7 separate regions of the Mus musculus genome follow, and regions 1, 2, 3, 5, 6 and 7 are each reported to be linked to region 4. The links are microRNA targets in miRTarBase. Many come from high-throughput screens and were not tested one by one. Region 4 holds a microRNA gene; each other region holds the end of a gene's coding sequence. Distances are from middle to middle.
The links. The annotated mature microRNA mmu-miR-7b-5p reads UGGAAGACUUGUGAUUUUGUUGUU and lies in region 4 at 1,331-1,354, opposite strand. An mRNA with a match to its seed (bases 2 to 7 or 8) in the 3' UTR can be bound and repressed. Matches are read on the target gene's strand: a 7mer-m8 pairs with bases 2 to 8, a 7mer-A1 pairs with bases 2 to 7 and ends in A, and an 8mer does both.

Region 1 (4,065 bases), not on the chromosome of region 4:
CACGATGCCTCCATACACCCAGCTGTAACTAGCCAGATGCTTTCATCCTCACTGGATTTGAGCTGAGGTCTTGGTCATCTTTTTGTTCCTGGTCCTGACTGTCCTGGAACTAGCTCTGTAGACCAACGAGGCTGGCCTCAAATTCAGAAATCCACTTGCCTCTGCCTTCCCTATGCTGGCATTGAAGGTGTGTGCCACCATGCCCAGCAGTGTGGCCCTAAACTCTTAATGCATCTTAACACTGATGGAGCCTCAGTAGCCGGGCAGCAGGAACCTGCCTCAGTAATTGTGTCCGCTGTGAGACGCAGTGCTCGGCCATGCAGGAATAGCACTTGGTAAAGTGTGTGAAGTCAGCAGGGTTGTGGTTTGAAGGGCTACCCAGGAGCTGCGTGGGTTATCCCCTGCTAGAGCTCTTTGGGATGAATGCACAGGGTTAGGAGGATAACTAACATCCTGTCTGTGTTTCTGCTGTGCACATAAACACTCGTGTTTTCCAGGGTAAGTCCAAAGAGCAGCGTTCCTGAGACTGGCCTGATAGACTGCAGCACTTCACAGGCCGCCAGTTCTCCAGAACCAACCAGCCTCAAGGGCTCCACATCTCTGCCTGTTCACTCAGCTTCCAGAGCTAGGAAAGAGCAGGGTGCTGGCAGCCATTCCGACGCTTGAAGAAAACTGTCTCGTTCCCCCAGAAGCACATGTATGTTACACTGGAGATGACCAACTGATTTGTCTTATAAAGGCCACTGTTGAGCTGGGAGAGTAGCCCAGTGGTACAGCGCCCACCTGGAATACTTGAGGACCTGGGGTTGTCTCCCAGCACTGCAAAAGGAAAATTCACTGTTACAGTCTTCCTTGCACTTAAACCAGCTTTGTCTATTGTTTTTTTGGTTTGGCTTTTATTTTTGTTGCTGTTATTTTTGTTGTTGTTTGTTTGTTTTTTTGTTTGTTTGTTTGAGACAGGGTTTCTTTGCTAGCCCTGACTGTCCTGAAACTCCCTCTGTAGACCAGGCTGGCCTCAAACTTACAGAGATCTGCCTGCCTCAGCCTCCCGAGTGCTGGGAATAATGGTGTGGTCACCACTGCCCAGCCTTTTGTCTGTTTTTAAACTTGAAAGAAACAACAGCCCAGATTTCAAAAATAATATAATGCATTTATACCTAAAAAACCAACCAGGAGTGCCCAGTTAATAACACTTTTTAAATGTGGGGATGGGAAGGGCATTAGAGGAGTCTTCCTTCTATTGAAGATTCATTAAAGTATTTTAAGATATGCTCTTTCACTCTTTATATAAATCCAAGATTTTTCTTTGCTGAAGTATTTAAAACTTTTGTACCTTTATATGTAGATATGAATTTGAAAATATGCTTATGTGTATTTGAACTTTTGAAAATCCTAGAGAATTGAATCAAATATTTTTATGATGTTTTTCTACTATTTTAGCTACTTTGCGACTGTGATAGCTGTTACACTGGATTTTTAAAAAACTTGTACAGCAGCCTCTTTACAGTAAAAAGAGTGGGTGTCACACTGAAAGGTCTGTAAGAAGTGGTCACAGCCACCCCTACCTTCCCCAAAAGGAGGAACTTGGTGGCAGGTCCCTCCCTGATTGGACTGTCCCTTTCTTTCTGCATGTTATAAATCAGCAGGTAAGATGGTAGGTTTTTACAAGTTAGGCCGAGCTGTCGATTCCCCTTTTAAGTGTTGAATTAGGATTGAATTATGGCCATTTGTAGTTGCTCGTGCCTGTCTTTATTTTAGTATTTTATTTCCCGAGACAGGAACTCACTGTGTGGTGCTCCTTGGCTGTCTGGTGTTCAGTCTGTCCCAGGCAGGTCACAGAGATCTCCCCCTCTGCAGCCCACTCATCTCTCCCAAGCCACCACACTCAGCTTTTATCTGTTTTAAAAATTTAAACTTAAAAAAATGTTTTTGGAATAGTACAAACACATTGTGTTGTAAATTTCTTTGATGCTATGCAAAATTCCTATCTGCATCTAAGCCTGCAAAAGAAAATGTGCGAAGGGCAGAGTCAGAGTTGGGCAGGAAGAGTGTAGTGCAGCAGATGCAGCGTGAAGACACTGAAGGTGCTAAGACAGCGTCTCAGTGCTGGTCCTCCTTAAGGATTATCTCGCCAGCGAGGTTTTCTTAGATACTTTGATCCCATTGGAGCTCTGTTAAAGTTTAAAATGAAAATTATCATGTACTGTATGGGAAATGTAAATACTAACTTTTCCACATATGTAAACTTCAGACACAAATTTTTTTGTGTGTTCTTTTCATCAATAAAATTTTCTTTGTATAAAAGATTGTATTGTGTGCTAGGTATATAGTACTGACCCAGAAACAGTGTAGCCGTTTTAGATTGATAAAGGCAGAAGTCAGAAGCTTCCTTTCAGCGGAGGTAGGAGAAGACAGTGAAGAACTTGCATATTGTCAGTTTCTTCCCCAAGTGTAGTTTTATAGCCATATTGCCTACAGTGTGTTGGAGCCCATGGGAGGCCTGCTAGATTAGGCGAAGCAAGCCGGAGTCCTTGGATCTGCTCCCAACAGTGGATCAGATCATTTAACCAAACCTCCTCAGTGAAGCAGTCTTGCTTTCCACATACTAAACAGCTAATAAAGGGAGGACTTGTCAGGTAGGACTCGGGGTCAGAGGAATTCCTGTCACCAAGCCCAGGGTTTGCAGCTTGTCTTGTCTGCAGCCATTGCTACAGAGTGTTGCAGAGAAGTGGACAGTGTTATGGAAGGAGTCTCAGAGTGAAGCTAGGTAAGCAGGAGAAAGGGACCAGTGCCTTCCATAAATTTAGAATTGTGACCTCAACCACCTGAAAACCACCGTGCTTCATGCTGTCTGTGTGGGACAGAGAAAGCCCAGACTCTGGCCCGGGGTTAGGAGCCTCACAGTGGAAAGCAAATGAAAGTCTTTTAGAGAAAGAGGGTTATTGTTTATGCCCTCTGAATTTGTTTCAAGACAGGTTTGCTGGCCTAAGCCGGCCTACATTTTACTGTGTACTCTAGACCAACCTCTGGATTGATCACTGTCCTTCCTACACCTGAGTGCTGGGATTACGGGACCACACCACCATGCTTGGCCATCCACAAACCCTAGAGACTGGAGACAGTTCAGCAGTTAAGAGCACTTATTACAGGGACCTGAGTTCAATTCCGAGGATCCACAATCATCCCTGACTCCAGTCCCAGGGGGTCTGATGCCATATTCTGTCCTCTGTGGGCACCAGATACACTGGCAGTGCACAGACATACATACAAGCAAAACACTAATACACATAAAATACATACATGTATAATTTTAAAAAATAGTGTATCAGGCCAGGCATGGAGGAAGCACATGGTTTTAATCACAATAGTCAAAAGCAGAGGTGGGCAGATCTCTGAGTTTAAGTCCAGTCTAGTCTACATAGTGAGTTCCAGGACAGCCAAGGCTATGAACAGAGACCCTGTCTAAAAAACGGGGGGGGGGGGGGGGGGGGGGAAAGGGTCTATCATTGATGTCCAGGAGTCACTCCACAAACCACACAAACACTGATCTTAATCAGACAGGGAGAGTTTACTGAGCACGTGCCTGGGAACTGATCAGTCAGGGCTGCAGACCAGACTCAGGACTTTACTACAACCCTGAGGCCAGTATCCTGTGGAGCTTTTAAACCTGAAATCCACAAACGCCTGTGCCAAATTATTCCACCAATCAGGATTTAGGCATAGGGGACTTCCTTAGGAAAATGTCTTTGTTGTACTCTCAACCTGTTCCCATTGGTTGAGGTTCACCTGCGGTGGGGCCTTGCCTTGCCTAGCATTCACGTCTTAACTTGCAAATCAGAATGTCACTTACTTTCATATACATGTCGCTTTCATCCAAATATGGTGTCAATTCCCAGGGAGATTTTAGGAACTTAAAACTTTACCCGACCCCTATGGTACATGTGCCTATGTTGGGTTCCATCCCAGGGGCTGCTTATAAAGGCGACAACCATAAAAGCCCATACATAAGGGACAGGAGGCACTGCTGGGCAGTGGTTTCTGCTCCAAACCTATTGTGGCTAGCTA
Region 2 (4,065 bases), not on the chromosome of region 4:
ATTGCCTGCCTGATGCCTACCCCTCACTTCTCCCATCTTGTCAGAGGACATATGAGTTGATAGTTTGTCGTTGGTCCTCTATTTCTCAAAGAACATTAGTAGCAGTGTGTTTTTGTTAGCTATACTCAAGCCAGGTCTCAGAAACATGTTCCTGTTTAGCTTTTCTCCAAGGTGCTGGCTGATGGCCTCCGGGTGGGAACCAGGAACAGAAGGAAGCTTCTTCTGGTCACCTTCCCTTCCTGAAGCAGGGGTTTAGCTGTGTAGTTTCCATCGAGGCAGGAAGACCGGCAGCCTAATCTCTGAGTTCAAGTACTGTGCACTTGGTGTCCCCAGGCCTCTGTGACCTGCTGGGACAGAGCAAGAGCGAAGGTCATTTGTTCTCATCTGTGGGTCCTCCATGGGTGGCCTTTTTCCAGGGCACTAAGCATTGCAGAGGGAGGAGTGGCTGACAGATGAGCAGATGCCCTGGCTAAGATGCAGATAGCAAGCCTTCTAGTAGCTCCCAGAGCCTCCTCGACTCAGATGAGGAAGGTTGGCTTTGGGCCTTCCGAGTTACGAGAGAAGTAACCTTTCCCTCCTCTTTCTCCTCACACTCCCCAGGTATTCCCAGGACCTTGCTGAGTTTGTGCCGGGTGGCTGTGAGAAGAGCTCTTGGCAAATACCGACTGCATCTGGTTCCCTCGCTGCCGCTGCCAGACCCCATAAAGAAGTTTTTGCTTTATGAGTAGCATTCACATGCAGTGCTGACTGCAATGTGGAAGCCGATCACCTGCAGTGAAAACTGACACAGACTCTGGCATCCTGGGAACCATGGCCTGTGCTGCCAGCTTGATCCTTGGCTGTCAGTGAAGAAGAAACGGCTGTGTTCTCTTGGACTGTGATTCTATCTCAGGTGCTTGGGCCATCGAACGCTCCTTGAGTCATTGTCAACTGAGAGGCACATACAAACTTAATTTTGTTCCTCTTCAGTCTCTCTGTTTTGGATTCTTCCTGGCAATGTGTGCAGCATGGGCTGAGCCTGGTGATTGCCCTAGTGGGGAAGGCTTTTTTCTCCAGGCTATGCATCTATTTATGTTCCTACTTTGCAATTTATTGTTCTTTTAAGGCTTGATATCAAAACAGAAAGAGGTTTGTTAAGAAAAGATATAGGGAGAAGGAATTCGGTTCGTGCACTTGCTAGCCTGCTTTCTTGCCTGGGTTTGTCTGTCTATGCTGCCTGGTGCACATCCCTTCTCTTTGCTGCCACTGTTCTATTTTGGGAGTTGTCTTCCGTCTAAGATGGCTTCTGGGGTTCTATCTTATTGCACAGAGGTCCCAGAACAGTGTTCATAGGGCACCATCTGCTCTGCCAAGGGTTTTCTGATGTCTTACCCTGGGGATCTTCAGACAGTGGTTACCTTTAGGAGACCCACCTGGAACTAACCATTAAGTGACTGCCCACATTCAGATCAGGGACCATCTTAATAGTACTCACTGCCAGTCCTCACAAGAGAAGATGACACGGGTGCTCTCTTCAGACACTCCCATACAGGAAGTGGAAAATGTCTTGGTCACCTGGGTGGTTCCAGGCTACAACTTCTTGGTGTCCACTAGACAGGATATCTAGGTGTTGGGTGACTGTTCCTCCCACTTTCTGACCCAATGCCTTTGTGGGTGCTTCTAGAGGTCTTTCCCTGTCCTGCCCAGGGCTGTTGGTGGGTGAGAGAGATGAGCTTATTGCAGGATTGCAGGTTTGTTTAACTCTTGAGTGGTGAGTGTCACAGCAGGTGGGCCCATAACCACGGCCTTGAGCATCCTTAGGTTGCTCCTGTTTCAGTGAAGTCACCTTTTGTCATTCTGAAGCCTGTTAGGATTACTGTGTGGACCTTGCTGATTATAGACTTGAGAATATTTGGGACAAGCAGGTAATAAATCTGTTTAGACTTTTGGCCATAAAGGGGATTTAACTTGTTAATACTTTCCTAGTGTACCATTTTGTGTTTTAGCTGACCAGTCAGGCAGTTGGTAGCCTTGGGATTCTGTGGATGGAGTTCCAAACCCCACCCCAGTGCCTCAGGAAGGCCCAAGGCAGCAACACCAAGCTGGTCCAAATGTACTACATGAGTTTTGATGAGCCTTGCCCAGTCCTGGACAGTGAGTCCTGTGTCTGGGGCAGGAATGAGCTGGCCAGAGCCTGTCCCTGTCTCCCCACAGCTGTTCTGTGTGGCCCCAGCACAGCTCTTCACTTGGACTTGAGTAGCTTTCCCTGTCTCAAACCAGTTTTCAGAACCTTTCAATCACTTCAAGGTTCTGCATGTTCAGAATTTCCAGCCGGTAACTCTGAATGTGACACAGCATCGGCATGGACTGAGGGCACTTCCCCTTGTCGCCAGTATGCTATGAAGGCACTGCATGTCATTGCTGTCAAGGATGAGGTACGGGGTAAGAAGCACCCCAGGTTCATGAGAGGTACCATAGGAAGTTGATGTGACTTCGGTGAGGACTGACCCTCTACTCAGCAGACTTCTGAGCTCTGGTTACCTGTGTCCTTCCTAGCATGGGGATGTGGGTGTCTGATGAACCTACTGCCTTCTGGCTGAACTGGCCCTAGCAGAAGAGCTTAGTGGTCCAGAGGAAGGAGCCTGAGGGTTGTCCCAGCTCATCAAAGGGGTATTTGTGGGGTTGTTGCTGTTACTGGGGCAGCCACTTGATTTAAGTGAAGACTTGTGTAGTGGAATCTTGGCTAGGCAGGTTGGAACCAGTGATGATCCCTCAGAATTTATCTTTTCAGTATTGGGCTTTTAGACATATGTCCAGAAACCTGCCAAGGCAATGCCATACATTTTGTAGCTATTTTACTTGTGATGTCTATCTGTCTGTCTGTCTGTCTGTCTATCTATCTATCTATTAATCTATTATCTACTTATCATCTATGTATTTATGTATTTATTTGTTTATATATTTTTGTATTTATTTATTTATTCATATTCTTTTTCCATAAGAGGACTTAAGCTGGAGAGTCTTATTTTGTTTTGACAGTAGATTGGTAAAGTAGATAATTGGCATTTTTCAAATATTGACCAGTACTGATGTCAGGCTTAAGGACCATTATTTCAGAGTTTCCCCTTTTCACTTTCATGAATGAATTTTTAGATAAAAATTTCCTGAAAGATAAAGTCCTGACTGTGGGCCAGAGCGGAGGGAAGTTCTTCATGCCTGAGAGCTGCTCTGGCCTGTGCTCAGCCAGTTCCTGGAGCAGTGTCTGCTCTGCAGCAGACAGGAAGAGCTCTTCCTGTGCCTTTCCAGGGACCCTGCTGAGGTCCTGTGAAGTGCCGAGGCTGCAGACACTTTGTTTGGGAGGGGTCTCTGTCCTGAGAAAACTGCTTCCTAGTGGAAGTGCACTTACGGTGGTCACAGTGCTGAGAGCCCACAGTCTGGATTTGGGATTGACCTTGTGGGGCGGTTGGATCATCTTGACCCACAGTGCAGCACCAACAGAGAGCCATTCGAGCAAAAGGGTAAGGGTGGCTTGTAGTACTTGAGGAAATCAAATTTCCTCAGCTGACTGGACTGCCTTTTATTCTTCAGTCATGTCATTCCTGACAACAGAAGGCTTGCTGGAAAGGGATGGTATGGGGCTATGGCTTTGCATGTAAAACACTTTTGATTGGGATCCACAGCAGTGTTCTTTTCACCTCTGCCTGCTGCTGTCCTGGCACAGTCTGATTGTAGTGGATGCTACATATTAATGAGGAAGTTTTAGATCCTAAGTAGCATTCCTGGTGGTGAAAGGCATTGTGGCTTTCCCATGGCCTGGGGTCTAAGTGTAAGCTGGAGGACCACTGTGCGCGACCTGAGGAGTCTAGACATGCTTTTGAAGCGCCTCTACCACCCCAGATCCATGAGGTCACCACAGAAAGTGTGGCCTTTTTGGTAAGACTTGCTTGTCCTTCACTCAGGCCTTGGGAACCAGTGGCACCTAGGATGCTGGTGATGATGTCACCAGTGGTGGTCTGCTGGTACCTGTGTCTCCTTGGTGCCTGCACACCGGGCACTTGGAGACTAATCCTGCCCTGCAGGGATCAG
Region 3 (4,065 bases), not on the chromosome of region 4:
GCTTTGAGAAGCACTGCCTTGGAACTGCAGACTCTTCAGCAAGTCCCCGTCTCGTTTCATTTCTTTAGGTATTTTGTCTCAAAAAACTCCCCATATTTATAAAGTTACATTTATTTTACTAGAAAGTTTTATTGTGTTTTTATTTATTTGTTGCTCCTTTTAAAAATAAGTGGGAATTTAAAAGTTGTTGGGCCCTTAGTTATTTTTTTTCCTTTTTTCTTTTCTTTTCCTCTTTCTGTTCTTTGAAGCTGTGTTGACATCCTTGTCTCCTGTAGACCCAGTGGAATCTGTAAGTAACTCAGAACCACCCATGAATTCAGATACAGAAAAAGTCAATAGTAATGCTACTGAAGAGGAGACTAGTAAGCCCTGTGCCGGCGACAAGGAAGACAGTAGGACTGAGTATGTGTGTGACAGCCCAACAGAGGGGCCAAGCAAAGACACCTCTGCAGACACAGGCCTCCTCCTTCCAGGAGCCGAGGAAACCATGTGCCACCAGCATGAGAGTGAGGCTAAGTCTCCTCAGGCTGCTGCTGCGGGGGCCACTGCCCCTCCGACTCCCAGGGACACACTGCAACTCTCCATTAAGCAGAGGCTGGCTCGACTCCAGTTGCCACCAGAATTCACCTTCTCTGCTGGCCTGGCTGCAGAAGTGGCCGCCCGGTCCCTGTCCTTTACCACCATGCAGGAACAAACTTTTGGCGACGAGGAGGAAGAACAGCTAGTTGAAGGCGGTGAAAATGAGGTGGAGGAAAAATAAAAGCCAAGATGAAGCGATGGCCTTGATTGTTCTTTTTACAAAAGTGTTCTAGCTGCAAGACTGGAAAGAGAAATGAGTGTGTGTTTACTCTCTATAAGGCTACGGCGTGAATTTACAGGGTGAATACTGATTTGAAAACCTGACCTGAAACTAGTAGATACCTGTCTAGTCAGATCCTTTAGGCATAGGAGAGAAAGGTAAGGGACTTTTTTAAAAAATAAATAAATAAACTGCTGTTTTATTTGTGGCAAAACTGATAATCTTGGCAAATCTTTAAGTACTTTTAATAAGACATGAATTTATCACTTTTTGCCAAAACTTTGCTGCCACAAGGTAACTAGGGTGATTGTCTTCCCGAGCAGAAACATTTAGAATGAGCCCTTTCTACTGTGTCCTTGCAGTGTGAACTGCAGCGGTCATGTTAATACATTGTTCGTACTTTATTTTGTTTATACCACTCGTAAAACAAAGAGACAGGTTCTAAATAAAAGTATTTAATTACCACAACCGATGTGTGCTGGGGTTTGGAACTGGAAAGTAGTTAGCAGGGAGCTGGGACTGCAGCGTATCTTGGACATTTCTCACGGGTCATGCAGAGGTTAAGAGGACAATGTCCTCTTAGGGGACACCCCATGATGTCCAAGCGCTGTCACTCCAGCAAAGGCCCCAGCCCCAGCCCTGCAGGAACTAATTTACATCAGTTTACTGGAAGACAACTGTGCCTCTGCAGTAGGTAGGTCCTGTGCTGTCTTCTAGCCTGGCCTGCCTTACTAAGACTCAGGAAACGCGTCAGCTATCTTGGAAAGCATCCTTGTCCCTTTGTGCTTCATCGTGAATGCGTCTCGAGATGCTTTCCAGAGACCAGTCTTGTCCGCTTTGTGCTGGAATTGTGTTTTCAATGAAATTTGCAGAAACAGTCTCCTTCTGAAACCTGTTGCCACTGTGCGCTCCCAGACTTTATAGGCATTCTTCTGTGAGGAATGTAAGAAAGAAAAACAAACAAAAACAAAACAACAAAACTCAGTTGATGCTGCTGTTTCAGGAGGAAAGTATCTGACTTCCTGTAACTTACTGCTTTTAGCAGGAAGCTTACTTCTTCTCAAGGTTTGTTGTTGTTTTTGGAACTGTTTCTTCTCCTGAGGAAAATCTTTCCCTTTGTCTACACTGTTGGTGATGTTGCCTTTGCTGATACTTAGCAGTGCAGCATGGCCAGAGCCGTCAGTCCCTTAAGTCAGACATGGAAGATGCTTAACTTCAAGAGAAAAGGAAGTTTTTTTAGGGAAATTTTGTTAAGCGTTCTCTTAATTTTTAACACAGGAAAACTTAGTCATTTTTAATTCTTTTAGTCTATTTTGATTCAACCATAGCAATTTCATAGAAACCCATTCATAATCTTATTTGCCAGTTTTTATAGCATGATTCATCTTTTTGGGAGTAGTATTCTGACAGCTTTTACTACAGATACTGCCAACATTGGTTTTACCAGGATCAATCTAGAACTCAGAAGAAAAAAAAAGCGTGCTTTTTGTTTTGGGGTCACTCATGAAAACAGAATTTTTACCCTTGGTGCATCTGCAGATGGGCAGGTCGGGACAGTAAGTGGTCTGTGGTCACCTAGCAGATGGGCAGGTCGGGACAGTAAGTGGTCTGTGGTCACCTAGCAAGCCTCAAAACTTTTTCTCTGTTTCTGTAAGGCCCTGATGTCTGTCAGATGCAGGGCCAGAGTCCTGGCTAATCTTTCATTTGCAGTCCTCTGTGATTTTTTTTTTTTTTGGTTTTTTTGGGTTTTTTGGTTTTTTGTGCAAGCTATGCATATTATCTAACTTCATAAAGCCCTTGTTGTCCTTCTTAAAACTAATTAATAGTCACAGCATCTGAACCTATTAGGAGTTGATGATAAGTGAGTTAGGAAGAGAACACACATTTAAGGCAGATTGCTAAGGATGTTTAAGAATACAGATTTCAGACCGTGACGCGACTTGTACTGGTGATGCCAGCACCCCAGGTGCACTGTTAGGAAGGCTACTGCGAGTCCGAGGCCAGTTGAGCGTGCTCCAGGATAGCCAGAAATACACTGTGCGAACCTGTCCAGGAAGAAAAGAAAAAAGAAAGAAAAGAAAACAACAGGTGCCAGGTGTCTGCAAAAAGAGGCGGGAGTTTGAATCCCAGGCCTTTTGTTCAGAGGATTCAAGTACTGTGACCTTATCATCTAGGGAGAGTCTTCTCAGGAAAACTGTAATTCCTGGAAATGCAGAAAGAAATGTTGGTTTGGAGGCTGGAGAAGTTATAAATGTATAGCTCCATTTATTAAAGTAGATAGTAATATCCTACTTTATATACTAAAAGACAGTTGCTTGAATGGTAAGCATAAGAAAAGTCAATTTCTGATCCATTTAAAAGACTAGAACTTGGCTGGGTGTTGATAGAATTGACCTCAGGTTGTGTCACTCAGATATTTTCTTCCCATGCAAAACATGAATCATGCTTCAAGTTGCTAAATGAATAGAAACACTAGGGGGAGGGCTGTTATCAGTTAGCCATAGCATATTGCTTTTATACTCAAATAGAGCAAGGATACCAGAACCAAGTCCTGAAGCCAAAAGTGAGTTTTTTCCAGATCTGTGTATGGGGACTTATTTGTACTTTATGCTTAAATTAGAAAAAAAGATTCAAAAAGAAAAATGTAGGAAATAAAAGACAGCAAAATGTCCAGTATAGTGACCGTTCATTGTCTTCGTCAGCTGGTGACTAACTTGAGTCCCCTCATCTCTCAGGGAACAAAAGCAAGCCCATGTATTTAGTCCTTGGACTTAACAGTCTGCTTACAGGATCACGTCTCCTTTTCTCCCTTAACTCTGGCACGTACCGGAACTAGCTTAGCCTGTCCTTTGGGAACCGGAACTAGCTTAGCCTGTCCTTTGGGAACCGGAACTAGCTTAGCCTGTCCTTTGGGGACATCAGTTCCTTTGGGGAAGAATGCACACGTCCCCTCTCGGGGACAACTGGGATTGATAACGTCAGGCACTCCTTTGCTGCGAGATTTCACATTGCTTGCTTTTTGAGTCGTGTCTGTTTTTTTCACAGTTTCTCTTACCTTCCCCTATAATCCGCCGTGTTGTGTGCCTGCCTTCCGCACTAGGCCCCTAATTTGCTGCTTTTAATCTGCTGTGGACTGAGAAACCCGATTGCCACGCTTGCTAGAACTGTGTCTAAACTAAGAGTAAGTAGACTGGAAAAGGCCGAGAGCTTTTCTGTCGGTCGTGTGCATGAACCTTGTATTGCCTGGTTTGCTGCTTAGCATTCTT
Region 4 (4,065 bases):
ACTAGTGGTTGCTTTGTGTGGCGGGCACAGAGTTTTATTGAAAATTGGGCTGGGGCTCCATGGGTACCGTACCCAGTCAAAGCATTTGAAATTCTGAATCCAACACCGTGTATGCTAGGCATGGTTCTCAGGGACTGGAGGCAAGAGAACTCAGTGTTCAAAGCCATCCTGGGCTACATTCAGAGTTAGAGAAAAGCCTGGACTACAGGTGACACTGTCTCAAAGCAGGCAAAGTGAAAAGAGTGAGGAAAAGAAAACAAGAAAGAGAAAAGAATTTCAGGGTTTTCTAGAAGTACCTTTGATGCCAATCCCTCTTTTAAAAGTTTTATGGCCGGGCAGTGGTGGCGCATGCCTTTAATCCCAGCACTTGGGAGACAGAGGCAGGGAGATTTCTGAGTTCGAGGCCAGCCTGGTCTACAGAGCAACAGCCAGGTCTATACAGAGAAACCCTGTCTCAAAAAACCAAAAAAAAAAAAAGTTTTATGTATGCACATGCTTTTAATTCAAACACTCAGGAGGCAGAGGCAGGTGGATCTCTGAATTTGAGGGTAACCTGGTCTACAGAGTAAGTTCTAAGACAGCCAGGTTTATATACAGAAACCCTCTCTTTTTTTTTTTTTTTTAAATGTAATTCTTTTTTTTTTTTTTAAAGATTTATTTATTTATTATATGTAAGTACACTGTAGCTGTCTTCAGACACCAGAAGAGGGAGTCAGATCTCATTACAGATGGTTGTGAGCCACCATGTGGTTGCTGGGATTTGAACTCTGGACCTTCGGAAGAGCAGTCGGGTGCTCTTACCCACTGAGCCATCTCACCAGCCCCAGAAACCCTCTCTTAAAAAAAAAAAAAAGAAAAATTTTTATGTGTGTTTATTTATTTGTGTGTGGAAGCATGTGTGTCACAGGACATGTATGGTCAGAGGACAACTTGCAGGAGTTGGTTTTATCCTTCTACCCAGTTGATCCTGGGGCTCAAGCTTGGGTTCCCTAATTTCAAAGCACTCTTTCCCTCTGAGTTACTCCACTGGCTCACCATTCCCTATTTGAGTCTCCAGAGAAAGCACGGTGCTGTGACCCAGGGCCCTGAGGTTGTGTCTCTGATCCTATCATGTAGATGTGTTTGAGTGACAGGCCAATAGCATGGGAAACACTCCTGCACTCTCCCAGGGCCCGAGACCTTGCTAGACACCCTCTCCTGTCCGTGCTAGACTTCCCTTAACCCCCTCCTGTCCCAGTTTCCTGCCCCTACCTGTTTGTGTATTTCAGGAGAAAGGTGATAGGAGTCCACGCTATGAGGCTGGCTGTGACTTGTTGTCATATCATATCAGAACAACAAAATCACAAGTCTTCCACATAGCACTGGCTCACGTACTCCGCTCCTCGTCCTCATCCTCCTCCGCCAGGTTCAACACCCTCAAGTGCTTCTCTCTCTCTCTCCATAGAGGATTGAGCATAACAAACCCCACTCACTGACTTACCCTCCCTAGACATCCCTTTTCCATTCCATCCCCTGAGACACAGGCAAGATTCATTCTCTACCTGCCCCCCAACTCACACCCTGGCACATCACCAACGTGGGATTTATTGTTCCAGGCACGAGGAGCACACACTTGTCACCCCAGCACGCAGGGAGTAGAGGCAGGAGGATGAGAACTTCAAGATCATCTTTGGCTACACAAGGAGTTCAAAGCTTGGTCTACAGTGTTTTAAAATAATAATAATTATATATATAATTGAGAGAAAAACTCTTTTTAAAAATAAAAAGAACTTGAGATTTAAAGTTGGATTGAGGCTGGCTTTCCCCTCACCACTTCACTTTGGAAATTAGTACACCCAGAGGCACTCATAACATCTCGTTGACCAAATGCTTCGCCTGTACTCTGTGAGTTTGAAGCCAGCCTAGTCTACATAGTGAGTTTCAGAACAGCTAGAGGTACACACAAAAAAACCCTGTTTCAAAAAAGAAAAAAAAAATCCCTCCGTAAAGGACAAATGCCAAGAACCATTAAGAGGTTCCTTCCCTGTACACTCTCCGCCAGAACAGACCCCAAGGCGATCCCTGAAGCTGGGTGTTGAGAGCTTGGCACTGCCAGGGGCCGGGTGCTGAAGCCTAGTCTCTTCGTGACCCGCTGGGAGCTGTCCGAAATCCTGGTGCTGAAGCCGAACTCTGCTCCGAGTCCCTCAGCCGGATGGCGCTGTCCGCGTCTCCAGTGCTGAAACATAATTAGTTATTGGGGGAGGGGGTGGTCAGTGCGGCTCGAGGACACTCTCCCAGCTTCTGCCTTCTGCCAAAATGCCCCGCTCCTTGTTTCTGTTCTTCGTCCTAGGGACCCATCTTCTGTTTTAATCTCTTCCCATGGACCCGGGGTGTTCTAGGCGGGGACGAAGGCGCAAGGCTCTCACCTGCTCCCACATCTCAGGGAGACAGCCCTGGGTTCTCTGCCCTTCCTAAACAGTCCAGTTGGCCTTCTGGAAGATGTGCCAACTTGCATTGTACCCAGAGTCCCCGCTTCCCTCCCTCAGCGCACCTTTTCCTCCTTCCTTCGTGCCTTACCTTCTCCTGCTCACCAGCAGCTGCAGGTGTCTCGGTGGCTGTCCAGTTTCCGACGTTTCACCTTTATGCGCTTAAGGGGAAGGCGGAGCGCTGGAAACCCTGGGTGGGGCTTAGCCAGTGAACCAATAGGAATCGTCTTGGAATGAAGCTCCAAGGATTACCTCATAGGTTGAGGCCTCGGCTTCAGAATAAAAGTCAGGCATCCGTCCAAAAACTTCTTTAGGGGTCTCCAGAAGGTGTCAGGGTGTAGTCCTGTGGCCTGTTAAGTTTCCACGAGAGGATCATCTAAAACCTGATCACTGAGTAGCCAGAGGATTAGCGATCATCAAGCGTGTGCCTGCTGGGACAGAGAAGCTGAAAAAAAATGTTTGAAGAAATTGAGGGATTTTGAAAATAAAGTCCAATTCTACACAGGGAAGATGAAGTGTGCGGGAATGAGACTCACAGAAGCGTAGGATAGAGGCGGAGCTCTGGCGATTTTTGTTTTGTTTTGAGTTAGGGTCTTGATTTGTAGTCCATGATGACCTCAAACTTATGATTCTCCTGCCTCAGGCTCCCATCAGGAGTTTGCCTCCACACTAGATTGATGCAGTGCTGGGAATGGAACTTAGTGCTTTCTGATTGCTGGGCCAGCGCTCTGTCCCTGAGCCCTAGTCACAGTTTCCCCCCTCTAACACAGTCTCTCTCACTTTTGTGATCCTCTTGCCTCAGCCTTCTCAGCACTGGGAAGGCTGGTGTGTGGCACATCACACACCTTCATTTACATAGCTTCCTTTGTAGCACCAAAGGGACAGACAGTCAGGGAGGACACACACTCAGGCTTGTAAATCTCCTACCAGCTCCTCAGGCTGCGGAGCTGGCAAGCCAGGTTCATTCTATACACCCTAGGGGCATGGGAGGAGGGGCTGCAGGGAACCTGGGATGAGACCCTGGAAAGCCACCTGCAAGATCTAAGCTCTGATCAGTTGTCCCTTTCCCTTCTAGCAGTCTCTTGGGTAAAACTTGCATGCCCCACGCCCTTTGTTTTTCTCTCTTATTTCTTCCCATTCTTTCAATTTGGATATGAACCCAGAGCCTTGCAGTCCCTCAAAGAGCTAAGTCATCTCCCTGAAATTATAAGATTTATTTATTTATTTATTTATTTATTTATTTATTTATTTATTTATTTATTTATGTGCACATGCACAGTACATGCATAGAAGTCAGCAGAGAGCTTGTGGGTCCTGCAGCCCACATTTAATTTAATTCATTTTAAACCTTTGGAGAATTCTTGTTCTTTTTATTGTTTGTTTGCTTGCTTGCTTGCTTGTTTGCTTTTTGAGACAGGGCTTCATTGTGTAGCCCTGGCTGTCCTGGAACTCACTGTGTAAACCAGGCTGGCTTCAAACTCAGAAAGATCAACCTGTCTCTGCCTCCTGAGTGCTGGGATTAAAGGTTGGCATCACCACTGCCACGCTGGAGAATCGTTTGGGGCTACGGGAAGCTGTTTGGCAGGTTTCTTCTCTCACA
Region 5 (4,065 bases), not on the chromosome of region 4:
ACTACAGCCCAGAAAGCTCAGACTTCATCTGGCACCAAGCCCATGGAGTTGTGCTTATACCTGGATATACCCATGCATACTAGTCTTCAGTTGTGGGATGCTGTAGGGTAGCTAGAGGTGTCGATCTATACTCTCATGCCCCCTCATGCTTCCCTTGTTAGCCGGGCAGCCACCTGACTCCTACGTTAGGTGTTTCCTCACTAAATGAAACCTCATTCTGTCTTTTCTGTTCACTCCAGGTGGAATTCCCAGAGGCCCGTATCTATGAGGAAACACTCAATGTCCTACTCTATGAGACCCCTCGAGTCCCTGACAATTCCTTACTGGAGGCCACAAGCCGGAGCCGCAGCCAGGCTTCCCCCAGTGAAGATGAAGACACCTTTGAACTACGGGACCGTGTCCGTCGCATTCATGTCAAGCGCTATAGCACTTACGATGACCGGCAACTTGGCCATCAGTCCACTCATCGTGACTGATGAGACCCTTAAGAAATCGGGGCACAAGAAGTCCTGTCTGCCACCCTGTGGAACGTACCCATTGGCCACCCTATGCTGCTCCTGCTAGCTGGGAGCCTGCTCTAGTATGTACAGGTGACAGCCCTGCTTGGGAGGTTGGGGAGCTGAGAGAGGGAAGGCCACATTGTCTTGGCTGGCCCCCCTCCCCCCAGCACTTCCAGATGCCACCCCACTTCCTGCCAATAAGGAGCTACTTCTGCTCTAGGGTGAGTGCACTGATTTCCCACCTCCTGCCAAGAATACCCCCTGGCCCTTGGCTGAGTGCCCCTTTCTTCTGAAGAGCTCCTTTAGCTCCTCAGCTGAGGCCCACGAGAACAGCTTTGTTCTAGGGGAAAGGAGGCTTCTGGTGCTGCGAGGACCCAATTTTGAACAGAAAAAGTGGCCTTTTTTTTTCCTAAGGTGTTTAAACATTGGTATAACCTGGATTTTTGTTTGTTTTTAAATCTAGATGTTAGCATGGCCGTACCTATAATCCCAGCTATGGAGAAGCCGAGGTGGGATAACATGTTCTAGGCTAGCCTGGACAACATAGCAAGGCCCTCAATATAAAATTTTAAAAAGGGGGCTCACCTAGCAAGAGTGAGGCCCTGGGCTCAATCTCCAGTACTGCCACACTCACTAGGTATCTACGAAATGACTAGTTTTTAGTCTGGGGGGAAAGCTAGGACTAAGCAGAGTGCCAGGACCCCACCTAGTAGGCACACACTCACACACTCACTCCACCCTTTTCAGTATCCTAGGACCCATCTTTAAAGCACTTTGTATGTCTATCATTCAGGGGAATCTATTCTGCCTTGACCCAAAGCTTTTTCTGACACTGATCCCCTCCTGCACAATCTTAAGGAAAGGCTGAGACAGGAGGATCACAAGTTTGAGACCAGCCTGTGCTATGTAGTTAAAAGTTCCAGGCCAGCCTGGGCTACATAGGCTTTGTTTCAAAAAAAAAAAAAAAAAAAAAAGTAGACTGACCAGCTTTGGCTTGTCAGCCTGACTACCCAAAGAATACCAAGAGGGAAAGGACGTCCAAGTTGAAAATGGTTTTAATAGCATCCTGTGGGGAAAGGGTAGGGTCACATCACTGACTCAGACTTAACAGGATTCTTTGGTGTGAGCCTCATACTTGGGTATGTTCAGCTCTAAGACACAGATGTGCTGCAGCCCCTGATACTATGTCTCAGTTTATGTCCTGGTTCTGCCTAGTGATGCATCTCCAAATACATAGTAACTAGGACCACCTAAGCCTTTGAAAGACCTTTCTTCTGGGTCACTGACCACGGATGTACCAAGATCTAGACCTGGTGTCAATTCTTCCTTTGCGCTTTGGTTTCCCTCCCTTTCTTTGTTGGGACTGGCTCTCTTACCTGGATTCTATCCAGAGGAATGTTGTCACTGGAGGGGGCTGTTTGTAAGCCTAAGGAAGTGTGTACCCATCAACAGTGCCCAAGAAGGGCCACAGATTATCAGCTGTATCCCTTGACTACTCTTATGATTGCCACATGGGCACACAAAGGCTCACCTCTTAGAGCCTATGGGCAGATGCCAAGCCCAGGGTTGGGCTCTCACAAGGATCTAGCCTGACAGGGCAAGGGGAAATGGGAAATGTGACTTAATAATCAGGCATGTTATGTTAATCACGATCTTGAATGTATAAATAGCTCTAAGATGCTTGGGTCAGGCACCTTAGTGACGAGCAACTATTAGTTCGTCCAGATCTCGCTGGAACTAAGATGACAATCCAACTTTTTTGGCCAAATAGAGGCTTTGGCTTTCAGTCTTTCCCACAGACTTTGGAATGTGACAGCATGAGGCCACCAATCTGTTTTCTCAGCTGTCCCCTAGAAGCCTTTAACACTCAGATTCTCAGACCCCTGCGGTGTTTCCAGTTTGTCTCTTTACCGCCACACCCCCTTTAGCCTCCATGAGGCGCTTTGACATCCATCTCCTCTGCTGTTCAGTGCTGTCTAGTCATGGGCTGAGGAAACATAGCAGGAGTCCCGGGTTGGGCATTCATCTTCTTTGACTGAAAATTTCTCCTTGGTTTAAGGAAATAATACTGAAGTGATCTGGACTCGTGAGATTTACCAGCCCTGTCCTAAAGGAGTTGTAGCAGGATGGGTTTTTTGATCACAGGCAGTCCAGGGGACTTAAACATAAAACATGCATGAGGGTCAGACTGGACGCTGCTCACAAACACCAGCTGTGTGCTGTTGAACCTGGGACATGTGACTGGTTGGCCTGAAGGGTAACACAGGTTCTGGCAGGAAAGAATGTGCCCTTTACTACATACCTGCGGTCTCAGTTGCTTACCTTAAGTGATGGAAGTAAACACTAACTTCTAATAAAGTTGTTTTACACTGCTGAGCCATGTTTCCAGTGAGCAGAGCCTGGCCAGCTCACAGCTGTGGGCTCAGTTCTTTTATTTCTGTTCCCTCCATGACCTTGTGTTCTAGGTAGTCAAGAGACTCATTCCTCTATAATCCTACAGACCCACACTCCCCCTGGTGGAAGATTAAGAACAATACTCAGAAGGACTAGAACTGAGATTTAATAATGCAAGAATGAAAGGACCTCTAACAGTAACTATAGTGGTGAAGGAATCCTAAGACCTGGGGCAAAATGCAGTCCAATTCTCTGGCTCCTGTTGGCCTGAAAGAAGCTCCAAAAGCAGCTTGACTTGGTCACTGACCATAACTTAAGCTGCTTCTTGGCTGAATTCCTGCCCCTGTGGTCTGGATGCTTGACAGGCTTTGCTCAATGCTCAGAAGCCCACAGTTCCCAGAAACCTGACTGGTTTTGCCTCACTCTTCTCCAGGCCTAGTGAAGCCAGAAGTGCTGGTGGGTAATCCGTGTCTATAGTCAGGTCAGTCCAACTCTACACTGGCCTCCTCTACACTGGGCGGAGGGTAGAGAGACCCGGAACTTAGTCCAGTGCTGCTCACTGTTACCAGTGCCCCAAGATGTCCAGCCTCTGAGGAAGGCGCACCCTAGCAGGGCCAGCAGCTCCCTAGAAGAAACTTTGCATGAAAAGCAACTAAGAGTTCCTAAAGGGCCAGCAAGGGGGCCTGAGACCCTGGAGACAAAAATGGCCGTGGTGGCCAAGTGAGCACTGGTTTATTGACCACACCTCACATTCCAGAAAACATGGGACAACTGAACAGTTCCCTGACAGCTTTGCTGGAACGTGGTGTCCTGGACAGCGGCCAAGGCCAACCTTGGAGGAGTCTTATGTGGGTCTTCCAAGAAAAGTTACAATCTCCCTCCAAAAAAAGAATTTCACAGTAGGGAGAGGTTTAGAGTTCTGCAGCAATTATGGGTTGAGAGCTGTTGTTCTTAGGGCCAACCTGGGCCTCAGCTGGCCTACCAGTGAAGGCCTGAGGGTGGGGTCTTCTCATCTTTATTGCTTTCCAAGGAGAATGGTGGGATCCGGACATCAAAGTGGGAGCCATCCGGTCTCTCAAAACGAAATGTGCCCCTGAGGATTGGAGAAGCGGGTTTAGAGGGAGTAAGGTCTGAACTGAAGCCTCTTGAACTGTGTGGTCCCATGGCCTCT
Region 6 (4,065 bases), not on the chromosome of region 4:
TGCTGAGTCTGCCTTGGTCACTCTTGCTCTGGTGTTTGACTTTGTCGTCTTCTCACTGCCATTTGTTCACAGGCTGGTTGCATGTACATCCACGGAGGAGTGGTGAACATCCATGAAAACAAACGGACTGGGTCGCTGTTTAAGATCTGGCTGGTGGTACCTAGCCTGCTGGAACTGGCATGGGAGAAGCTGCTCGCGGCCTTCCCCAACCTAGCAAACCTCTCCCGAACACAGCTCCTGCACCTTGGACTCACACAGGAACTCATCGAGCGTTTGAAATGAAGATTTCTGGACTGTTCATTGATACTGGAAATGTTAATTTAAAGAGACTCCTTTATTTATGGGCAGTGTAGAATGTGCTACAAAGAGGATTGGCTACCCTGATCAAGGCCTTATTCAGAAAATACATCAGATGCCTTTTTGTGAATGGGTTTAGTTTATGGACATTTCACTTTCTCATGTGCTTTCTTCTTTGCTCCCCTCCCTCCTGCCCCTCATAATGCACCCCACACTTATGCACTCCCTCTTTCTTGATGGAGTTGAGGGAATGTCTGAAAGTCCCTTAATAATGTTAAGAATCAAGAGAGAGAAATTGTTGCCTTTTTTTTTTAATTCTGAGCATATTGACCATGTCAACTAACACTACAGATTAAAATATCATCAACAAACACAAAGCTTAAAAAGCCAGCAACAACAACTCTTGGTCTGGGAGATAGAGCGAGAACACTAGTCTTGGTAGCCTAGCAGGTTGTTCTTAAGTCTGGATGTTGAGTTAGTGTTTCTGAGATGTGCGGAGTGGCTGGACTCAACGGTGCTTCATGACTTGCTGTAAAAATGCCTGACCTTGACACTAGCAGGCAGCTCAGTGACGTCTGATTAGCGATCCCTTCAATCCTGTAACGCTCCGGTGGTTAGCGTTGGCCTGCCAATGTTTAGTGTGTCTGTCATCATCACCCTCTGTTGTTGTCTCTCAAATTAAATGTATATGGCATCAAGTTCTTTCCAGGCAGTTCTGAACTTCCCTTGTGCTTATTAATGGCTTTAAATATGTCTTTGACTTCTTGGTGGGGGATTGTAGACTCTTAAGTGTGTGATGTAAATGTCTACGGACAGTAGATAGAGCACAGCACCCGCACCCTTCAGGCTTAACTGTCTTACCTTCTGCTTGGGGTGCTGGCTTTGACTAGCATAGCAGCTGCTGCTTTTTTAGAACTTGTTTCTCTTTAAGTCTCTGGACCATGTCCCTGCGTTTTCTTAAACTGTTGGTTCTTGATTGCCTCCTGAGCTTGTTGCCTCCTTTGCTGTCCGCTTCTGTGTTCACGATGCTGTGGTTGCCTAGTGACTGGAGGAAGGTCTTAAGGGAAAAGGTACAGGGTCTCCTTCTCAAGAAGCAGGGGTCATTGGAGAGCCAGCAGGAGGAAGGGGTGAGACAGGGTGATTCGCTTCTGTTGGTGAGAGATTTTGTTTCCTCCTTTCTGGAGAGAAAAGTAACGTACGTTTTTACTCCTTTTGTCCTCAGGCAGCTAGAAGAGCTGAGGAGTGACTTGTGTAAGCCTATGGGTGTCCATAGGTGCAGTCAGGATGCTAGAGGCCTGCAGGAGGGTGCAGCCAGTCCCCCCTGCAGGCTCCTTGCAGAGGAGACATGTAGGAGATTTCAAACACATTTTTCCTTTAAGTGCCTCTTTTCCACCTAGCTTTAATATTATTCATTTTCTTTTAGCCCAAAAGAGATCTCTTTAGTTGATATGAAATAAAAGTCACCTTTGAGTTACAGTAAAAAAACGTTCCTGCCCGGTGTGCAGTCTTAGAGAGGTCTCCTCCCTTTGGCTCCCAACAGGCCTTATGCTCCATCCGTGTGGGTTAAGTTAGTGGAGCCTTTGCTCTGTGGTCCTGAGTGAAGCCCTTATCTCTGAGTGAGGGGATGGACCTGCGTTTCTGGGGTCTTAACCCCCAGCTCTGGCCACTTCCTGTTGGTGTGGCTTTTACTTCCTGCCACCGATAGGCGCACTCCTCATAAGACCCCTCTCCAGAGCAAGTCAGCCTGAGCCACTGTGTGCTCAAAACTGTGACTCTGGGCCAGGTCTCCTGGACACATGGTGGAAGTGTATCCCAAACTAAATAAGCCATGTTTTCTAGGGTGACAGAAGGATATTTGTCATTGGTTTATATAGGGACCAAAGGCAATGTTCAGCCTCTGTGCTTTGACTCCCATGGTCCTTGGACAACTGAGGCTGACTCTGGTTCTGTTACACTAGAAAGCTGTAGAAAGGGGGCTGATTCAAGCCAACACTTGTTGGCATCCTTTTTAAGCCAGTTGAAGGCAGTCTCTTTGAGATGGATGTTGGAGGCCTGACATCAACGACCTTCTGTATCTTAGAAGTGCATGTTGGGTCTAAAGTGTCTTTGAATAGAACACTAGCGAAAGTGGTGCAGGAAGCAGCTGAATGCCGCAGCCACTCACGCACATGTTCTGGATGCCAAATGACTGTGGAGAAGGACTTAAAGGAAGGTGACTGGATCCTCTCTAAGGGTCACCAGCATTTTGGTTTCTCTATAACCAGCACTCGGGATTCCCAGTGGCATCACCTGGTGTGGGAAGGTTGTGATGCCTGCTGCCCCCCTGCCTTTTTGAGGTGCGCCCAGACATCTTCCTGCAGTCCTGGAAGTAGAAGTGCAATATGTAGAAACATATGGTCTGTACAGATTATGTAGAATCGACGAGTGTAAAGCAGTGACACCACTCTTTGTACCTGTCTTGGGCAAGTCAACTTATTACCTTAGAGTAGAATTATGCCAAGAACTTTTAGTGTGATCATAAGCCAACTTCTTGGTAAAGCTGGATTTCTTTCAGGTCCATGTTTTCTTATTCTAGTTATAAAAAAAAAGGTCTGTTCCTCAGTTTGCTAGGAGCTGAGGGTTTCCCATCCCTGTTTGTACTGCCTCCCATTTGCATGTCTTGCCCAGGAATAAGGAAGTCCACTTGAAAGTGTTGCCCAGGTAGAGAATTGAAACCTAATGTTAATACAGCCCCCCCCCCCATATACGCTAACTTATCTGGGAATGTAATACCTTATTAAATGATGTTTTCTTTACGATAAGGTATTTTCCACTTTACAGAAAACTGCAAACCAGTATATAATAGATTGAAACTTTACCTGCTTTTCAGGACAAACAAAACCCTTCCTTCCCACTGGCAGAAATCATCTTTCAGGGCCTAATGATTTGATATAAAAGCTTGCTTTATAGCATTCATGTCCAGTACAGAGCTAGATTTTAAAATTATATATATGATGAAAATATTAACATTTCTAGATTAAAAGTATGACTGATCTTTCGTTATCCACTGTAGCAAGGTGAAAGCACACACAATCGAAATCCATAGATAATCAGTGTTTAGCCTTCTCCTTCAAACAGTTGATTTACATATCTTGTCCCTTCCTGTCCTTCTTCCACACACATCCCCTTTTCAAGGGACGAGAAGTCAGAGAAGGAAAAGAAGCTCAAAGAAGGGCCAGCAGCTAGCCAGGCCAGGCTCCCAGTTAACTTAGACACTGGTAGGAAAATGACCACCGGTGGGAACCTTGAGCACAGCCTGCTGCTGAGTTCTCTGCTGCTTCCTGACCAGAGAGAACTCTTAGTTCCTGTGGGATGAACAGGCTGTGTTGAACAGAAACAGAAACCCCACTGTCTGAGCACATTTCCTGGCTCTTGGCAAAGCTTGCTTTTTTGTTTCCTCCTTTGGAGTCACCTTCTGCAGTCTGATGTCCTGGTGTGCAGCAAGGGTGCTCTGTCCTCTCGGACTGTGTTGGTTTTGTCCCCTGTAAAAGCAGTTTGCTGTTCTGTGGTCTTAGTGATGCTTAGAGAGTGGCCCTCCCACCAACACTCTGACGTAGCACAAAAAGCCATTTTCCTTTTTGTTTTCTGTTGTTTCCTGGTGTTGGGCTTCAGGGTGAATGCAGGAGGATTTATTGTTACAGCCACGCTTTTCAAGAGCTGGTTACCATAGGTGTAAATTCCATTGGTCCCCAGGTACCTTAGAGCTCTGGTAGCTTTGGCTGGGCCTGA
Region 7 (4,065 bases), 9.3 Mb from region 4:
GTTGGGCTGTGTACCACCATATACCCAGTTAACGTGGGCCCAGCGGCAGCAGGCATCTAGTTACCTTGTTAACGTGGGCCCAGGGGCAGCAGGTGTCTAGTTATCTTGTTAACATGGGCCCAGCAGCAGCAAGCATCTAGTTACCTTGCTGAGGCTTCTAGGTGACAGCCCCTGTCTTGTCCTGTCATCCTTCCACCCTGTCCTTTGCCCCACGACCTTTTTGCACATCACCATAGAATAAAGAGTTTTAGCTTCTTAACTCAGACCTGGGCCAGCAGTCCTGTTTCCTGACCTCAGTCTAACTGTGTGGCACTGGAGTACCTACCTTTTCTCTTCAGCACATACCCACAACCCAACACCGTGCGTGTGTGCGTGTGTGCGTGTGTGCGTGTGTGCGTGTGTGCGTGTGTGTGTGTGTGTGTGTGTGTGTGTGTGTGCGTGTGTGCGTGCGTGCGTGCGTGCGTGCGTGTGTGTGTGTGTGTGTGTGTGTGTGTGTGTGTGTGTGTATACAGAAAATACACAGTTGGAAGCTAGTGCTGTACACCTTTCCTGGCACAGAATGTGTTGGGACATGAGGAATGGATAAACTGTGCCTGTGAGTGACATGTGTCTCTTTCTAGACGAGGAAATCCTTTACATTTATGCCAAGAGCGGTTTCGAAAGATCCAGAAGCTCTGGCAGCAGCATAGTATCACAGAGGAGATCGGACACGCGCAGGAGGCTAACCAGACCCTGGTCGGAATTGACTGGCAGCATTTATAATCGCTCCTCTACTAAAAACTTGACTTGGAGTTTTGTAACACAGCTGGCTTTTCCAGAAAGACAACAGGAAATAAGTTCGGCTGAATCTATTTTGAAATAAATTCTTTATTTAAGCTTTTCTTCCCAGTTTTATTTTTCTAGTCTGGCTCCAGGGACTGATAAAAGTCATTTCTGCCAGATTTTATTGCTGTGTCCCTTAGACGGACGTCCCCTGGGTTGAGAGCCCTTTCTAGACCGGAGTCTAGCTCCTTTGGACGCTGCCTGCTTCAGCTGCAGTAGCCTGAGCCAGTCAACATTGCTGATGGTGTCAAGCTTGCTGGCTGTCCACCAGAGGCCAAAAGGAGCCCTGGGGCCTGTCAGGAGGACATGTCCCACCATGGTTCCTGAGACTGGGATGCGGTTCAGCTCTGGGACTAGACCTCACCTCCAGAGCAAAGCAAGTCAATTTGAAGACAGGACTCGCTTCCCCCTATGGCCTAGAGAGCTGGGGACTCTAACAGGAGAGCAGCCGGCTTTTCATGGCTGTAGATGGTTGGTCAAGACTTTTAGCTTTGAAAGCATTACTCAATTAAAGGGCTTTTTGAAATGTAAAGGACCTCCTAGTTTTTCAGACTATAGCCTTCTGCTCCAAGGCTAAACAGAGAGCATGTGCGCACCCTCAAGCAGACCACAGCAGACAAGTAAGAGCTCGGCTGAGTACAGTGCTCCAAGCCTGCAATCCCAGCTCTCAGGATGCTTAGGCAGCACTAGGAGTTCAAGGCTAGCTCCAACTGTGTTACAAGCTTGCGGCCAGCGTGGGTAACTTGAGGAGACCCTGTCTCAAACCAAACGAAATCCAGAAGGCAGTGTTTTGAGCTGCCTGCCCTGCCCTGCCCTGCCCTGCCCTGCCCTGCCCTGCCCCGCCCCGCCCCGCTCCGCCCCGCATCTGGATCAGATGTGTTGCTGCTTGTCTGCTGGTTGATCTAGGACATTCCTCAGCCTGTGCACACAAACGCCTGTTCTTTTTATTCTAAGAGCAGCCTTTCTAGAACTATAGCTACTTGGTGCCACAGTTACGGCTCTGGCACACCGCACACCTATTTCCTCGTCTGACGGATATCCGTCACATTCAGAGAAGTCACATAGACATGGTGACAGCAGGTTCAGCAGAGGGATGAACTCCAGTCTCCAGGAACAGAAAGGGGCTTTCAGCTTCTCTAACCATCAAAGAACCTCTCACTCAGCCTTTCAAATCACATCCACTCAGCTCTATCCATGCCTCCGTGTCTCAGGAGAGTCAGAAATCCAGACCAGAGGCTCAAAGAAATGCAGGTAGCACAGTCTCCAGGATCATGTGAGGAGCTGCCTCCCCTTCAAAGGATGGACTTCAGTTAGCTCTTCAGCGCGGCCCAGGCTCAGGACAGAGAGTTTGTAATGGAAGCCCAAGCTAGACTCCGTGCTCTCCCTTTGTCTCGCCTTCCCTTGGCATAGTCAGACTGGGCTGTGGATGGTGATGCTTTCGACCTTTGGCACATGCCGTTTCTTTAGATTTTAAGTTCAGCTTCTGTTGGCTCTTCACCTTCCGTTCACAAGGCTTAACTGTAAAGTTATGGGAACGTCTCTAGACTTGAGCCTAGTGCTAGAACACTTGCCTAGTGTGACTGAGGGCCTAGGTTCAGCCCTGGTACCAACCCAAAAGGAAAAAAAAAAAATCATGAGCACAGCTTGCTTCTAAACAGGCTGAAAACATCTGCTTTCTCACCTGACTCCACAGGAGCCTGGGATTAGCAGAGGTGGCCCTGTGTTTCACTCCTGGGAACATCAGGGTCTGGGCAGTGACTTCCCAGGGAATGGCAGTCCTCACACTGTGGCAATGTCATGTCCTCCCCCTACCGACACGTCTTACTTCCACTTGTTCCGCATGTTTTTGTTGTAGAAATGTTTATATACCATGCTTTCCATATCAGGGGAGATCATGTGTTTAATAAATTGGCTATAATTTTAATATCTGTGGACAATTGTAAAATTTGGGATGTATCATATGTAAAAAGTAAAGATATTCAAATAAATGCTTTAGTGTTGACATTGAGTTTTGCCTCCATCTTCTCCATGTCATTCGCACACACGGGGCCCCAGCAAAGCTCCTTGTGTCACCTTGCTGCAAAAGTGGGACATCGATATTAGCCTAAAATTTAAGAAGCTTAAACTATTAGTGTCAGCTATGACCACTAGCCAGGCCACACTGACCTTCTGGGAGGCATGGGCGTTAGCTCAGCCTATGAAGTTTTCCTCTTGTTGTCTGTGAGAGTGGGAAGTCTGGGGCCCCTGGACCGCAGAGCAGTGCACAGCAGGTCTGTGGGAGACTCTCTCAGCCTTGCCTGCTTCCCTGCAGGTCCTTGTTCTTCTACACCCACCCGACACTTGGCTTCTGCGATGTGTTCAAGAAGGAGACGACTCAGAGTGGAATTCTGCTGTGTTCTCAGAATTCTCTTACCAGACTGAGTCAAAACATCAAGTTCTCCATGGGACACTGTCAAACACCAGGGTCTCCATTGGGCTTCCCACCTCCTGGTCATTAAGGCTAACTCCTGCCCTAGACCAGCTGCCTCTCACTGACTGCTGGCTCTCTATCTATCTATCTATCTATCTATCTATCTATCTATCTATCTATCTATCTATCTATCTATCTAACTAACTATATCTGGTTGGTTGGTTGGTTGGTTTGGGTTTGGTTTTTTGAGACAGGGTTTTTTCCCTGTGTAACCTTGGCTGTCTGGAACTCACTCTAGACAAGGCTGGCCTCGAACTCACAAAAATCCAAATGCTGAGATTAAAAACCTGTGCCACCATAACCCACCAGCTCTGACCCCACCCTTATCTAGTGATGTTTACTGAGGTATACTTTACGGACAGATTAACCCTCTTTAAGGATACAGGGTTGTTTACATTTTGGCAAATGCACAGTTGTTTAACCAGCACAGTTGAGAACTAGAGCAGTCCCTGCAGAACATACCCTCACACCCCTTTGTGGTCCCCTCCTCCCTGCCCTGAGTGCTGCCTCTCACTCCTCTGTCCTGCACCCCTTCCAGAATCGTAGGTGACTGGAGTCACATGAGGTGCCTTCCCAGCAGCTTCTCTGCTACTCGTGCATTTTAGAGCTGGAGAACATAGCTTAGTTACTGAGCATTTGGGAAACCCTAAGTTCCACCCCCAGCAACACAAAAGCTACTATAGTATTTACAACCTGCATCCCAGCAGGGGGGCTGCAAAGGCAGGAAGATCAGGGGTCCAAGGTCATTTCAAGTACATGAGTTTGAGGCCTGG

Region 1: the mRNA of Fzd6 is a reported target of mmu-miR-7b-5p. Seed matches in the 3' UTR shown: 7mer-m8 at 846-852 and 7mer-m8 at 1,229-1,235.
Region 2: miRTarBase lists Asb1 as a target of mmu-miR-7b-5p. Seed matches in the 3' UTR shown: 7mer-m8 at 1,265-1,271.
Region 3: the mRNA of Vezt is a reported target of mmu-miR-7b-5p. Seed matches in the 3' UTR shown: 7mer-m8 at 1,109-1,115.
Region 5: miRTarBase lists Tnfaip1 as a target of mmu-miR-7b-5p. The part of its 3' UTR that is shown has no 7-base or 8-base seed match.
Region 6: miRTarBase lists Klhdc10 as a target of mmu-miR-7b-5p. Seed matches in the 3' UTR shown: 7mer-A1 at 3,446-3,452.
Region 7: miRTarBase lists Ubr2 as a target of mmu-miR-7b-5p. The part of its 3' UTR that is shown has no 7-base or 8-base seed match.

The regions. Positions count from the first base shown.
Region 1 is chr15:39,035,889-39,039,953 of GRCm38, forward strand. Fzd6 (frizzled class receptor 6) reads left to right here. Exons shown (of 7, transcript NM_001162494.1): 7 at 498-2,304. The coding sequence ends at 666. Among named protein-coding and RNA genes, the nearest start is that of Gm7194, 4.3 kb to the right of the region's middle.
Region 2 is chr1:91,554,151-91,558,215 of GRCm38, forward strand. Asb1 (ankyrin repeat and SOCS box-containing 1) reads left to right here. Exons shown (of 5, transcript NM_001039126.2): 5 at 601-4,065. The coding sequence ends at 728. Among named protein-coding and RNA genes, the nearest start is that of Asb1, 16 kb to the left of the region's middle.
Region 3 is chr10:93,966,888-93,970,952 of GRCm38, reverse strand. Vezt (vezatin, adherens junctions transmembrane protein) reads left to right here. Exons shown (of 12, transcript NM_172538.5): 12 at 249-4,065. The coding sequence ends at 760. Among named protein-coding and RNA genes, the nearest start is that of Mir331, 5.1 kb to the right of the region's middle.
Region 4 is chr17:56,240,306-56,244,370 of GRCm38, reverse strand. It overlaps Mir7b (microRNA 7b), which reads right to left and starts at 1,383; the gene lies at 1,273-1,383. A230051N06Rik (RIKEN cDNA A230051N06 gene) reads right to left here and starts at 2,655. Exons shown (of 2, transcript NR_155493.1): 1 at 2,557-2,655; 2 at 1,566-2,215.
Region 5 is chr11:78,521,716-78,525,780 of GRCm38, reverse strand. It overlaps Tnfaip1 (tumor necrosis factor, alpha-induced protein 1 (endothelial)), which reads left to right. Exons shown (of 7, transcript NM_001159392.1): 7 at 240-2,931. The coding sequence ends at 476. Poldip2 (polymerase (DNA-directed), delta interacting protein 2) reads right to left here. Exons shown (of 11, transcript NM_026389.3): 11 at 3,045-3,987. The coding sequence ends at 3,873. Among named protein-coding and RNA genes, the nearest start is that of Poldip2, 11 kb to the right of the region's middle.
Region 6 is chr6:30,450,415-30,454,479 of GRCm38, forward strand. It overlaps Klhdc10 (kelch domain containing 10), which reads left to right. Exons shown (of 10, transcript NM_029742.3): 10 at 73-4,065. The coding sequence ends at 282. Among named protein-coding and RNA genes, the nearest start is that of 1700012C14Rik, 8.5 kb to the right of the region's middle.
Region 7 is chr17:46,927,056-46,931,120 of GRCm38, reverse strand. It overlaps Ubr2 (ubiquitin protein ligase E3 component n-recognin 2), which reads left to right. Exons shown (of 47, transcript NM_146078.3): 47 at 621-2,830. The coding sequence ends at 762. Among named protein-coding and RNA genes, the nearest start is that of Prph2, 19 kb to the right of the region's middle.